Linked DNA regions of Caenorhabditis elegans. The protein of the gene in region 2 interacts with the protein of the main gene of each other region in a pairwise test. Each region holds a gene or a part of one and is shown on either strand. Other genes may lie near its edges.

Evidence for each region.
Region 1: the proteins of syx-17 (region 2) and wve-1 interact in a two-hybrid assay, tested with the Caenorhabditis elegans proteins (one large-scale study listed by BioGRID).

Annotation. Positions count from the first base shown.
Region 1 is NC_003279.8:11,924,014-11,931,754, reverse strand, and holds wve-1 (Wiskott-Aldrich syndrome protein family member), read left to right. Parts: upstream 1-2,238; 5' UTR 2,239-2,247; coding exon 2,248-2,384; intron 2,385-2,433; coding exon 2,434-3,037; intron 3,038-4,307; coding exon 4,308-4,634; intron 4,635-5,971; coding exon 5,972-6,049; intron 6,050-6,219; coding exon 6,220-6,480; 3' UTR 6,481-7,214; downstream 7,215-7,741. Other genes in the region: R06C1.4 (RRM domain-containing protein), read right to left, coding at 120-267, 343-421, 921-948.
Region 2 is NC_003279.8:8,642,539-8,646,974, reverse strand, and holds syx-17 (t-SNARE coiled-coil homology domain-containing protein), read right to left. Parts: upstream 2,516-4,436; 5' UTR 2,477-2,515; coding exon 2,375-2,476; intron 2,276-2,374; coding exon 2,160-2,275; intron 2,112-2,159; coding exon 1,992-2,111; intron 1,948-1,991; coding exon 1,692-1,947; intron 1,090-1,691; coding exon 978-1,089; intron 904-977; coding exon 857-903; 3' UTR 671-856; downstream 1-670. Other genes in the region: Peptidyl-prolyl cis-trans isomerase sig-7, read right to left, coding at 322-524; mog-7 (GCF C-terminal domain-containing protein), read right to left, coding at 2,753-2,801, 2,850-3,109, 3,420-3,673, 3,756-3,900, 3,946-4,261.

The DNA.
Region 1 (7,741 bases), 3.3 Mb from region 2:
TTTTCAAAAAGATTTATTATTTAAGTGTAGATGGTGAAAAACATGCACGAAGATAGAATTTTTGGTGGAATGTATATCACAAGTGCAATCTCTTTGAGTCACTCGGCGGCGTTGTCAGTTTACTTGTTGGCGTAGTTGACACGAAGGTTGCGTCCATTGAAGGCAACTCCGTTAAGTTGTTCGACGGCTCTTTGAGCTCCGGCTTCCTCGGAGAACTCGACGAATGCGAAACCGCGTGGGCGTCCGGTTTCACGATCGTACACGATTCTGGAAGACATTGATTAGTTTTGACAAGGTTTTAATCGAAAGTTTCCGAGTTTCTGAGTTTCTGAGTTCTCTTACCTGACGTTGTTAACATGTCCGACGGCGGCGAAGTAGTTTCCGATCTCCTCCTCAGTTCCTTGGTATGGAACGTTTCCAACTAGAAAAAAATCGATTAGCAAAACGGGGGTAATAGTAGGTTTTGGCCTATATATAGAAAGTTACAAACTCTCACAATGCACTGTTACAGAGCAAATGCACCCTATCCTAGTCCTAGACTACGGAGACCATGACAGTGCGAAAAGTCTCTTCACCCATACTTTTTGTGGTCGAACGGCGTCTCCATTTCCAGAATTGTGTGGCGATCCGTGTGGGGTCCCGGGTACTCAGTTAGTAGACTCAGTTATACTTATACACGTGGAAGGGGACTACCTGAAATATCGGGATTTGTTGTCAAGGAACACGAATGAACCATAGAGAACGAAGGCCGATCGGAAAACGCTAACAATTATCAGAAATCGATACTTTCTGCAAGTCGAAGAAAAGTTCATCGAAGAAAAGTGTGAGAAAGTTTCAGAAGTTTTGAGAATTTTGTATCATATTCAAAATTTGTACAAATTTAAATTTAATTTTCACCACCGATTTATTACTATACTTACCGTAGACGGAGAATCCTTGGGAAGCCATGATAGATTTTTTTTTGAAGAAAAACGAGTGTGTTTCCGCGTGGAAGACAGACTAAAAATGTTCGATCGAATTTGGCAGTCCTAAAAAGATTGAGGCCAAACGCGCGGCGGGTCTCGCAGCGAACGTGCCGCACTACGGTCGATTTTGTGTAGGTTTACGGGAGGGATATTTTGGAGAAGAAATCGGCAATTGTTGGGAAAGTGAAATGCTTATTACGTAACAAATTTGACGCGAAATATACCTCGTAGCGAAAACTACAGTAATTCTTTAAATGACTACTGTACGGGCTCGGTATTCGAAATGAATTTTAGCTTCTGTGACACAACCAAGTTGGCGAAAATTGAGAATTTAGCTATATTTTGTTATTTTTCTCAGAATTAGAACAATTTCATTGATAAATAAAAAGGACCATCTCTCCGAAACCTCGCCATTTCACGATATTTTGAATATTTTGAACAGTAAATATTGAAATTTCAATCTCATTCTATTTTCGCATTTTCCTGTATCGATTTTTTGTTTTGTATATCATTTTTTAGACCGAAAAAAATTAATATTTAAATAAATATAAAACATTTCCGGAAATGAAAATATTTCCGATGAATCACAGCGAGACACTGTATGTATTCGAGAGAGTGCAGACGCTCGCTTGCGCACTTCTCGTGAGTGTTTGCTGACGCATCCCGGGTGCACCTTGGCGCATTTCTGGATTAATGATATTTTAATTGAAAAACATGAGATTTTATTGGTTTTTCCTCGTTTTTTGCAGTTTTTCCGATGAAAAAAAACATTTTCTGACAGAAATAATAATTTTGAAGCTGAAAAACTATGTATTTTATGATATTTCGTTGGAAAATTAGGTTTTATAAGTTTTTCAGTGAATTTGTGGGTTTAGCATGTAAATGAAGCAATTTTATATGTTTTCTAGCGATTTTTCCCGGTAAAGTTACCAATTTCAGCATAATTTTATTAAAAAAGTGGCTTTTCTGTTTAAAAAACTCAATTTTATAATTTTTCCAGTGCATTTTCGTGTTTACCATTAACATTAGAGTTTTTCGTGGAATTTTCCAACTAATTTCATTGATTTTGGCTGCTCGCTTTTATGAAGTTTCCAGTGAATTTTTATGTTTAACTAATTTTTTTCACGATTTTCGTGCCAATTTCCATTAAATCCATGGATTTTTACATATTATTCAGGGAAGAAAGTGATTTTTTTTCGATTTCAAGTCATCTTCTGTGAATTCTAACGCTTTCTCGCAATTTCCACCCACATAATCCCGCAATTTCTGCACATTTTCAGCAATGCCTCTAACAAAACGGGCGGTATCACCGGTAAACCTCAGCAGAGGCACAATTCCATCAACAATCCATCGTGATGAGCTTCAATGTACTGCTAATGGGACAATCGCCAATTTAGTACGACAATTGAGCTCGTTGAGGTGGGAAATTAGGTCGGAAAACTGGAATTTTATCGATTTTTTTTTGCAGTAAGCACGCTGAGAACATCTTCGGAGAGATTTATCACGACGCAATGATAATAAATCACAAATCGAACACTCTTCAACAGAGAATTGATAGATTGCACAAGAAAGTTGAAGATTTGGATTCAAATTCCGATCAAGCAACGTTGAATGAAGCGAATATGCGAAAAGCATTCAAAAGTTCAATGCTTGTAGATCAACATATTCTGGATAGAAGCACTTTACCTACAGCATTGACTGAAATATATGCAAAATGTGATCCACCGCCGGATCTTGATGCTCTAAATCCGTATAGAGACTCTGAAATCCCTGCGCTCTCTCTCTACACAAATCCCTCGTTTTTCTTCGATTTATGGAAAAAGGAGACACTAAAAGAGGTTGCCGAACGGCCCAGACGGGTAAAAAGCCCGAACGACGGGAGTAAAAGCCCGAAAAAGCGGCGGAAGCAGCCTGGACAAGGCCCTCTCGGCACGACGGCCTATAATGATATGCAGCATAGGAATCGACAGATTAGTGGATCACGGATTAATCAGCAGAATGAAGTTTTCTCGTTCCCGGAGGAATATCAGGCTCCGCAGGCTCTCGGGCTTCAGCTTAACTTTAAAAATCAGGTAGATTTTCGCGAGATTTTTCGATTTTTTGAAGAGAAAATCTCCAAACCGTTGAAAATCGGAAAAAATCGATAATTGAGCCCAAAAATTTGAAAAAAATCGAGTTTTTTGCTGAAAAAGTGAATTTTCTATTGTTTAAAAAGAAAATCAACTTTTCAACGAGATTTCAGCGCTTACACAGCTCTTGTGCTCCCCGAGCAGGCCAAAATGTTCTATTTTGGGGCAAAATTATGGGTTTCCAGTAATTTGGAGCATGAAATTTCCTAAAAATGCACTTTTTCGCCAAAAAACAAGCCAAAATCAATGAGAAAAAGTCACTTTTTCATTAAAATCTGCGAAGATTGATAAGTTTTTGGAAAAATCGCTAGAAACCCTACAAATTAACTTCAAAAAAACTATGAAATCGAATTTTTCAACGAAGTCCCAGCTTTTCCGCTTCAAATGATTTTTTACCGTTGAAAATCGGAAAAAATCGATAATTGAGCCCAAAAATTTGAAAAAAAATCGAGTTTTTTGCTGAAAAAGTGAATTTTCTATTGTTTAAAAAGAAAATCAACTTTTCAACGAGATTTCAGCGCTTACACAGCTCTTGTGCTCCCCGAGAAGGCAAAAATTCTCTATTTTGGGCCAATATTTGGGTTTTTTAGCCATTTGGGGCTTGAAATTTCATAAAAATTCACTAGAAACTTCCAAAAAGCCGAGTTTTCACCGAAAAACAAGCGAAAATCAATGAAATTAGTGGGAAATTCCTTAGAAAAAATAATTTTTCAACAGAAAAGTGCCACTTTTTCATTAAAAATATGCGAAAATTGATAATTTTTTTTTTGGAAAAATCGCTAGAAACCCTACAAATTAACTATAAAAATCCTATAAAGTCGAAAGTTTCAATGGGAACAAATAATTTTGAAGCTGAAAAGTTATGGATTCTAGAGGATTTCGTTGAAAAATTCGATTTTATAGGGTTTTTATAATTAATTTGTACGGTTTCTAGGGATTTTTCCAAAAAAACTTATCAATTTCAGCATATTTTTAGTGAAAAAGTGAAACATTTCTGTTGAAAAACGTTTTTCATTGATTTTGGCTTGTCTTTGAGGCTGAAAACTCGAGTTTTTTGGAAGTTTTCAGTGAATTTTTAAGAAATTTCATGCTCCAAATGACAAAAAAACTCTGAAAAATCGATAATTAAGCCCAAATATCCTTCTCTGGGAGTAATTTTGAAGAAAAAAACGATTTTTTCCACTGAAAATCTCCCAATTTTTGATAAATTCAGCACCCCTCCAACATGGTTGCCCCAATCGGAATGACAATGCACCATCATCCTCAACAAAATGTGCATCCGAGCCAACAACGAGGTGGTGCTCCAGCAGCAGCTCGTGGATCTCCGAATGTTAAACGTCCGACTGAAGCTCCGCCGCCAGTGAATCTGGATCACCTCCCACCACCGGATATGTCAATTTTATCGATTGATGATGATGATGATGATCTTCCACCACCACCACCACCGCTTCTCATGAATACATCAATTGTACATCAGTTACCAGCAGAAGCTCCGTCGACGATACAGTTTGTCGAGCCGAGTGCTGCTCCGCCGACTAATGTACGTTTTGGAGCTCGAGAGAATTTGGAGATTTTGGAGTAAAATCTTGGTTTTTGCGAGGAAAAAAGCTTGCGTTTTTGCTTTAAATTGTCCGTTTTCACGACGAAAAAGCTTGGAAAAGCTTGAAAAAACTAGAAAATGTGAAAAGTCTCTATTATTCTAAGTTATTATGAGCGTTTAGAAGCCTTAAGCCTTTTTCAGGCAAAATCTCGCTTTTTCGCTTTAATTTGTTCATTTGGGCCACGAAATCACGAAAAATTGGTTGAACTCTATTAGAAAGGCTTGAAACGGCTTGAAACCGTTTGGAAAAGCTTGGAAAAGCCTGACAGAGCTTGAACTAGCTTGGAAGAACTTGAAAGAGAACGATAAAGCTTGAACAAGTTTGGAAAGCCTGACAGAGCTTGAACTAGCTTGGAGAAGCTTAAAGAGCTTGAAAAAATAGTGAACAAGCTTGGAGAACCTTGAAATGGCTTGAAAACGTTTGGAAAACCCTGGAAAAGGCTTGAAAAGGCCTGCAAAAGACAGGAAAAGATTCCAAAACGCTTAAGAAAGCTTGAACAAGCTTGGAAAAGCTTGAAAGAGCAAGAAAAAGCCTGGAAAAGCTTGTAGAGCTTAAACGAACTTGTAATAGCTTGAAAAGGCTTGGAAAAGCCTGACAGAGCTTGAAATAGCTTGAATGAGCTTAACGAGCTTATAATAGTTTGAAAAAGCCTGGAAAAACCTGGAAAAGCTTGGAGGAGCTTGAACAAGCTTGACCAAGCTTGAGCAAGCCTGAAAGAGTTGGGAAAAGCCTGAAAAAGCTTGGAAACGCCTTGAAAAAGCTTGGAGGAGCTTGAACAAGCTTGACAAAGCTTGAAAAAGCCTGACTGAGCTTGAAATAGCTTCGATGAGCTTAAACAGCTTGAAACAGCTTGAAAGAGAACGATAGTGGCTTCGAAAAGCTTACAGAGCTTAAAAAAGCCTGGAAAAACTTCAAAATGCTCGTGCGAGCTTGAAACAGCTTGTAAAGCCTGAAAGAGCTTGGAAAAGGCGTCAAAAAGCTTAGACGAGCTCGAAAAAGCTTGCGAAAGCCTGGAAAAGCTAAAAAAGCCTGACTGAGCTTGAAATATCTTCGATGAGCTTAAAAAGCTTGAAACAGCTTGGAAAAGCTTGGAAATTTGTGAAAAGCTCCAAGATTTCTTGTAGTGCATAAAATTAATTTGAAGCTATATTTCTGCAATTTCCAAGCTTAAAACCCCGAATTTTTCAGTTAAAAATTTGCAATTTTTGTCCATTTTTGTGTTTCCCTCATTGTTGTCCACTTTCCGCTTCTTTCTTCAATTCTCGATCCCTTTCAGATCCCTCCACCACCTCCACCACCACCTCCAATGGTTATAAGCTCGGCTGCAGCGTCATTTGCAGCTCCGGCTCCAAAGGTAAAGGCGCTGGAACAGCAGGGCTCTATGTGTGTCTAACCCGCTGAAAATGTGTAGTTTTCCTGTGTTTTTTGGACTTTTTTGAAGCTTTTTTAGGGACAAATTTCAAGAGAAATAGCCGAATTTTCATCAAAAAATCGATTTTCTCCCACTAAAACTGAAATTTTCAGCCATCCGCGGACGGTGAAGCTGCTGGCACAAATTCCCCAGTTGCTCCAAAACAACCAGATGCTCGAAGTGATCTTTTGGCTCAAATTCAATCTGGAATAAAGCTGAAAAAAGTGCAAAGAGCCGAGGCAGAAGCCGCCGAGAATGCTGCTCTCGAGGCGAATAATGTTGCGGCGATATTGAAGAGACGAATGGATCAAGTTATGGGAAATGATGATTCAAGTAGTGAAGAAGGAGCTGATGATGATGAATGGGATGATTAATTGCTCTCTTTTGTGTCGATTTACGCAGATCTCGTGTACTCCTCGAGGAGAAGATTCTACAGATTTTGGCTAAAAATGCTTGATTTTCGCTATTTTTTCCTTGAAAATTAACATTCAAAGCGGTGATTTTTAAGCGAAAAACCCGTGAAAATAGCTCTAAATCAAGCATTATTACCCATTTTTGCATTTTTACTGATTTTTTCGGTGAAAAAAAAAACGATTTTTCGCTGAAATTCTTGATTTTCGCTATTTTTACTTGAAAATTAACATTCAAAGCGGTTATTTATGCACTTTTAAGTGAAATCTGAGTGTTTTTAAAGTTAAAAATAAAAATAATTCATTGATTTTTGCCAAAAAAAAAACCGTGAACATTGCGAAAATGGCTCAAAATCAAGTACTTTTTTTTGCTAAAATGGTTGATTTTGAGCCATTTTCGCTATTTTCACGGTTTTTTTTTGTCGGTGAAAACTTTAAAATCGCTCAAATTTCACTTAAAACGCTATAAATAACCGGTTTAAATGTTAATTTTGATAGAAAAATAGCGAAAATCAAGCATTTTTAAGCCAAAAAACTGTAAAATCTTCTCCTCGGGGACTACACGAGCTGCGTAAATCGACGCACACTTTTTCGAATTTTCTTGTGTAAATACTGCCTTGCTTTAATTTATTTATTCAAAAATTTTTAAAATTTTTTCCGCTTTCCTGTTTCAAATGAACTGATTTTTCTCATTTTTTGCCCCTCCAGAATTGTAAATTTAAATTTCCAAGTGGTCGCCTGCCCCCTCATTATTATTTCGCAATTTTATGATTCATCAGTTTTTCCAATTTTTATTCGATTTTTTTTCAATTTAAATCAATTTAAACCTTTGAAATGTAGGAAAACTTCAATTTTCGCTTAAAATTTTCAATTTTTGGTGAAAAATCGATTTTTCCGGAAAAAAAACGTGAAATTTCCAATTTGGAGCACATTTTTATGAAATTTGCATCATTTCTCTCGAATTTACGAAAATATTTAAATTTTCAGCGGAATTTGGACATATTTCCTGGAAAACTCTTGATTTTTCGCAGAAAATTGCAATTTTTCATGCAAAAATTTGTTTTCTACGCATCGGAGCTCCAAAATTCCCAAATTATTCGAAAATTCAATTTTTAGCTTTTTTTTTCTCGAAATTTCAATTGAAAATCGTGTTTTTTGGCTCATTTTAGCTCAGTTTTCAGCTGAAAAATTCGAAATTGGGCGAAAATTTGCTCAAAAACCGGTT
Region 2 (4,436 bases):
TATTCATAATTTTCCACGAAAGCAATTTTTGGGGCAATTCTGCAAGTCTTGAAAATAGAAAGGATACATTGAGAAATTTCCAGAGAAAAAACACCAAGGGCTGTAGATTTTTTGTTTTCACTTTTGCCGAAAAAAAGTATTTTTCGCTTTTTTTGAAAACAAAACGATGCAAAATATTCTTAATTTGACATTTTTCCAAAAAATTACACTCGAAATTATTTTTTTAAACTTTTTTTTTTCTTGTTCAGTTAAACATATTTTTTCTTTTTGCAAAAAAACAATTTTTTTTGAATTCAGCCCTGATACGGATAATGATCGTACCTATAAACAGATTCTCCTCCTTTTCCAGTTCCAGTCGGGTCACCTGTCTGTGCTACGTAATTTCTCTCAATACTATGAAACTGGTTGAGATTGTAGTACTTCTTTTTGCACAATTTCAAAAAATTAAGTGAACATCTGGGACGTTCTTTCACGAATAAATCGATTATAAGGTCACCAAGTGTAGTTTCAATTAAAACTGCCATCTGAAAACTTTTTTGATTTTTTTTTATTTCAAAAAAAATCCGAAAATCTAGGATATCTGTTTTCTTTTGTTTGAAAAATCGAGGAAAAAAAATAAGAAAATGGTTTCGCAACCTAATTTGAAAAGAACCAGAGAATTGAAGTATTTCTAAAAAAGCTGTTCATTTAATTTACATTTTGACATAGCAGAAAAATGATCCCGAAAACGATGGAATTTCATGCAAATAACCCCGAATCAATGGTCTAGGAAATCTCTATCAATAATATAATACAGTAAATGGAAACAAAATGATGAAAATAATAATGTACATTATACAGATAGAATAAAGAACTCTCAATCACTCGTGGCCGATCGTTTGAAAAATTTCCCGGTGTAGATTGCTGAAAAACTTTATTTTTATTTTTAATTTAATTTAATTTTTGTTATTTTAATTTAATTTTTGTTATTTACTTACTAGCGACTAAACCTCCGACACCAGCTGCAATTCCAGCAATAGCTGATCCAGCTGCCAATCCAACAGGCCCTCCGACTGCAAGTCCACCCACAACTCCGGCATAAAGTGGAGCCTGAAATTCAATTTTTGAAGGTGAAGTAGTTCAAAAATCAGAAAGAGAATAAGCACAAAAAACACTAAAGAGTGAAAAAATCCCACTTTTCAATTTTTTAATTCCCTGTTTGAATTTCCTCAAAAATGAGAACTTCCCGACCAATCAACATCTTCGAACTCCGCCCACTCAGTCTAATTGGTGGAAAAGTGGGTGGAGCGAATCGCTGATTGGTGGCAACTTTAATTTTTGAGAAATTTCAAACGGGAGATTAGAGCCAAAAATGAAAAATCATAATTTCAAAATTTGGATTATTTTTCGTGATTATTTTCGTTTTTTCTTGGAGGGTTTTCTTAATTGATACGATACAAAATACAAAATTTTAAAGCAAAATGCCATTCGGTACTCCACTTTTAATAATTTCTATATTAAAAGTGTTCATATTTTTCTCAATAAAATAAAAAATTTTTTTGAAAATTTCTAACAAAAAATTTGCAGCTCATGAAATCGATAAAAATTTGTTCCTGTTTATTTATGGATTTTTTTCTGAATTTGAGACGATTCTAGAAATTTTTGAAGCAAAATCCCCATACTCCAACTTTAAAATCAAATAAAATCAATACCTTCGCCGCTTTCGATTTCACAGCTTTTTTCAAATTCTCATTTCCTCGTTTAACATCTTCAGTTGCTCTTTCAACCTGCTCCTCAATTGAATCTACAACATCATGTTGTTCGTGAACAATTCTTCCAAGTTCTTGAAATATTTTCTCTAAATCAGCCATATCCTTTTCAATTTTCACTGTCGCTTCAGCCCGTTCCTTCATATCATCTGCCAATTGTCGTAGTTCATTGTCTTTCAACGTTGTTTCTCGGAGGTATCTGGAAATATGAAAATTATTGTAAATTCTTTGATAGTTTCCTACCTTCGTGATTCCATTTCATATGGATTATCGTCTTCTGTTGCTTGTTCAAAAGGATTTGATCCGGGTAAATTGACAGCGGGTAGGGATCTTGTCACATTTAACAAGGTTTTAATTTGCTGTCTGCAAAAATTTGAGCTAACTATTTTTTGTTAAATAATTTTGGAATACCTGATAGGGTCAATTATAGAATCAAATTCATTTTCTTGTCGTGAATCATGCAACTCTCCACGAACTGTGAGAATACCACGTAATCCATCTTCCAAATCTTTTTCATATGCTGCTATCTGAAATTTTTTTTACAATTTAATTTTATAATTTCAGCTGGGAGTTTTTAAAAACTTTTTTTTTTCTCAAATTTTCGTTTTAGTGGTTTAAAAACTGACCGAATCTCTAAGCGCAGGTGTATCCCTGAGTCCTCCTTGTAACGCTATTCTCTGTAAAACTCTCAGCTCTCCTAATTGTCGATTCGCAGTTTTTTCATACATGCGCACTAATGTGCTAAATCTTTGAGCAAGTGTACTCATCTAAAAATTGATTTCTTTTGTGAAAATCTGAACAACTGAAACATAAAGCAAATGAAAATAATGGCAAGAAAATAGCTCGATGATCAAAAAACATTTTGATAAGGAATAGAATGGGAATGAAAATAAAATAAATAATTCATTATTTTGTAAATTTGACAGAACAGAAAGAGAAGGAAATAAAAAAAATTAAAAACTAATTGATGAAACCGGTTTTTTATGCTTTTTTTCAGAAATCAATCACCGCTCGAGTTTCTCCAAAAACTTTCGAATCTCCTTGTGGAAGCTCCTGAAAAATAAATTATTTTCATGAATAATTTGATTTCATGTCACTTACCTTCCTGCTTTACTCTGCTCTTCAGCAATTAGCTCGAGTGTTCCAATTAATTGACGAAATGATGTTCTTCCACCCATTTTCAAAAGCGAATCATCAAGCTCGGCGAGCAATCCCCGAACCTTTCGTTCAGCAGTCACGTCGTTTTTCGAACCAGTACGAAGAGCCATAACACATTGAGAGTTGACACATTTTTCAACAACCAATTCAAATCTGGCGGCAATTGATATCAGTGGTGAGAGGGCATTTATCGATTTTATGAGCTGTAATTTTTTTTTTGGAAATTTTGAAAAAAGGGGTTTCAAACATTATATTTCGAGATATTCAAAATAGCTATTTATGTTGTACTAAAAAGTTTCTGAAAAGAGCTGTCGGCAAAAAATTTTGGGTTTTCGCGGTTTTTCAGAGAAAAAATAAGGAAAAGTTTATGAAAAATCGAAAAATCTTTAAAAAAAGGAAATTTTTCAACGTTCTCAAATCCAACACCCTTAATTCTATGGAAATCAATTATCTTTTTTTTCAACCAATTTTCTCGATGTTTTTGTATTGTTTTAGTGATAAGATAAGTATTACCTTAATACAAGTCCAAAATTGTCGATCGTGAAATTGTCGACAAATAGGTTGTTCAAGAGCATTTGGCATGAAAATTGGCATAAAAAGATCTTCAGAAATACAATCACAAATTCGTTCTCGAATTGCATTTAGAAATGCGTTGAATTGCTTGCTTTTTTCCGTCAAATTTGGCAGTTTTTCAAAAAGTGAACAAAATGTTGTGAGATGACGAGTTTGTCGAAGAGACATTGGATCCCATTCCTCTTTTACGGTATCTGTAATATGGTTTTTGAAAAATAATTTTTGTTTGGAAAGCAGAAAAATCACCAAAATTTGATGAAAGTTTCAAAAACAAACCTATTAAAAATGGAATCACAACTTTTTCAACGATGGCTGGCGCCAGCTCGACTAGGATTTCATGACTTTGATCAATTTCTGCATTTTCTGAGCCAGCAAGCATTGCGATATGGAACCATTGCATAGAAGTTAAGATTGTTTCTTTCTGAAATTTTTTTTTTGTTTTGTAAAGCTATACAAAATTACTTACTCTAAGAAAATCCGCTCTGAGTATCTGTAGTCGAACATACGGAGAGCTCAACTTTGGAATACACAAATAAACATAAGCATCCTGAAACGACTTCGGATCAACTGCCAACCAATCCGTCATCCGTCCAAAAACTTTTCGAAGATCAGAATACTCATCTAGAGCATCTGCAAATAAAACAGAAGCAACTGCTTCCACTTCATCACAGATCTTTTGATCATTCATTGACTGGGGAGTTGGTTCTTCATCATCTGTACTTAATCCTTCTTCATGATTAATTCTAGCAAGTGTAAATTCACGTTCTCGACGTCGACGGCCTCTGAAATATATAAATATATAGATTTTGATAGAAATAATCTGAACAAGAATGAGATTTTTTTTTCTAAAAAGTGAAATGTCATAGTTGTGAGAGATCGTCTATTGTCATATGGGAAATATTTTCACATGATTATTGCGAAATAGAAAAAAAAATTGAGTATGAATATCTATGTGTG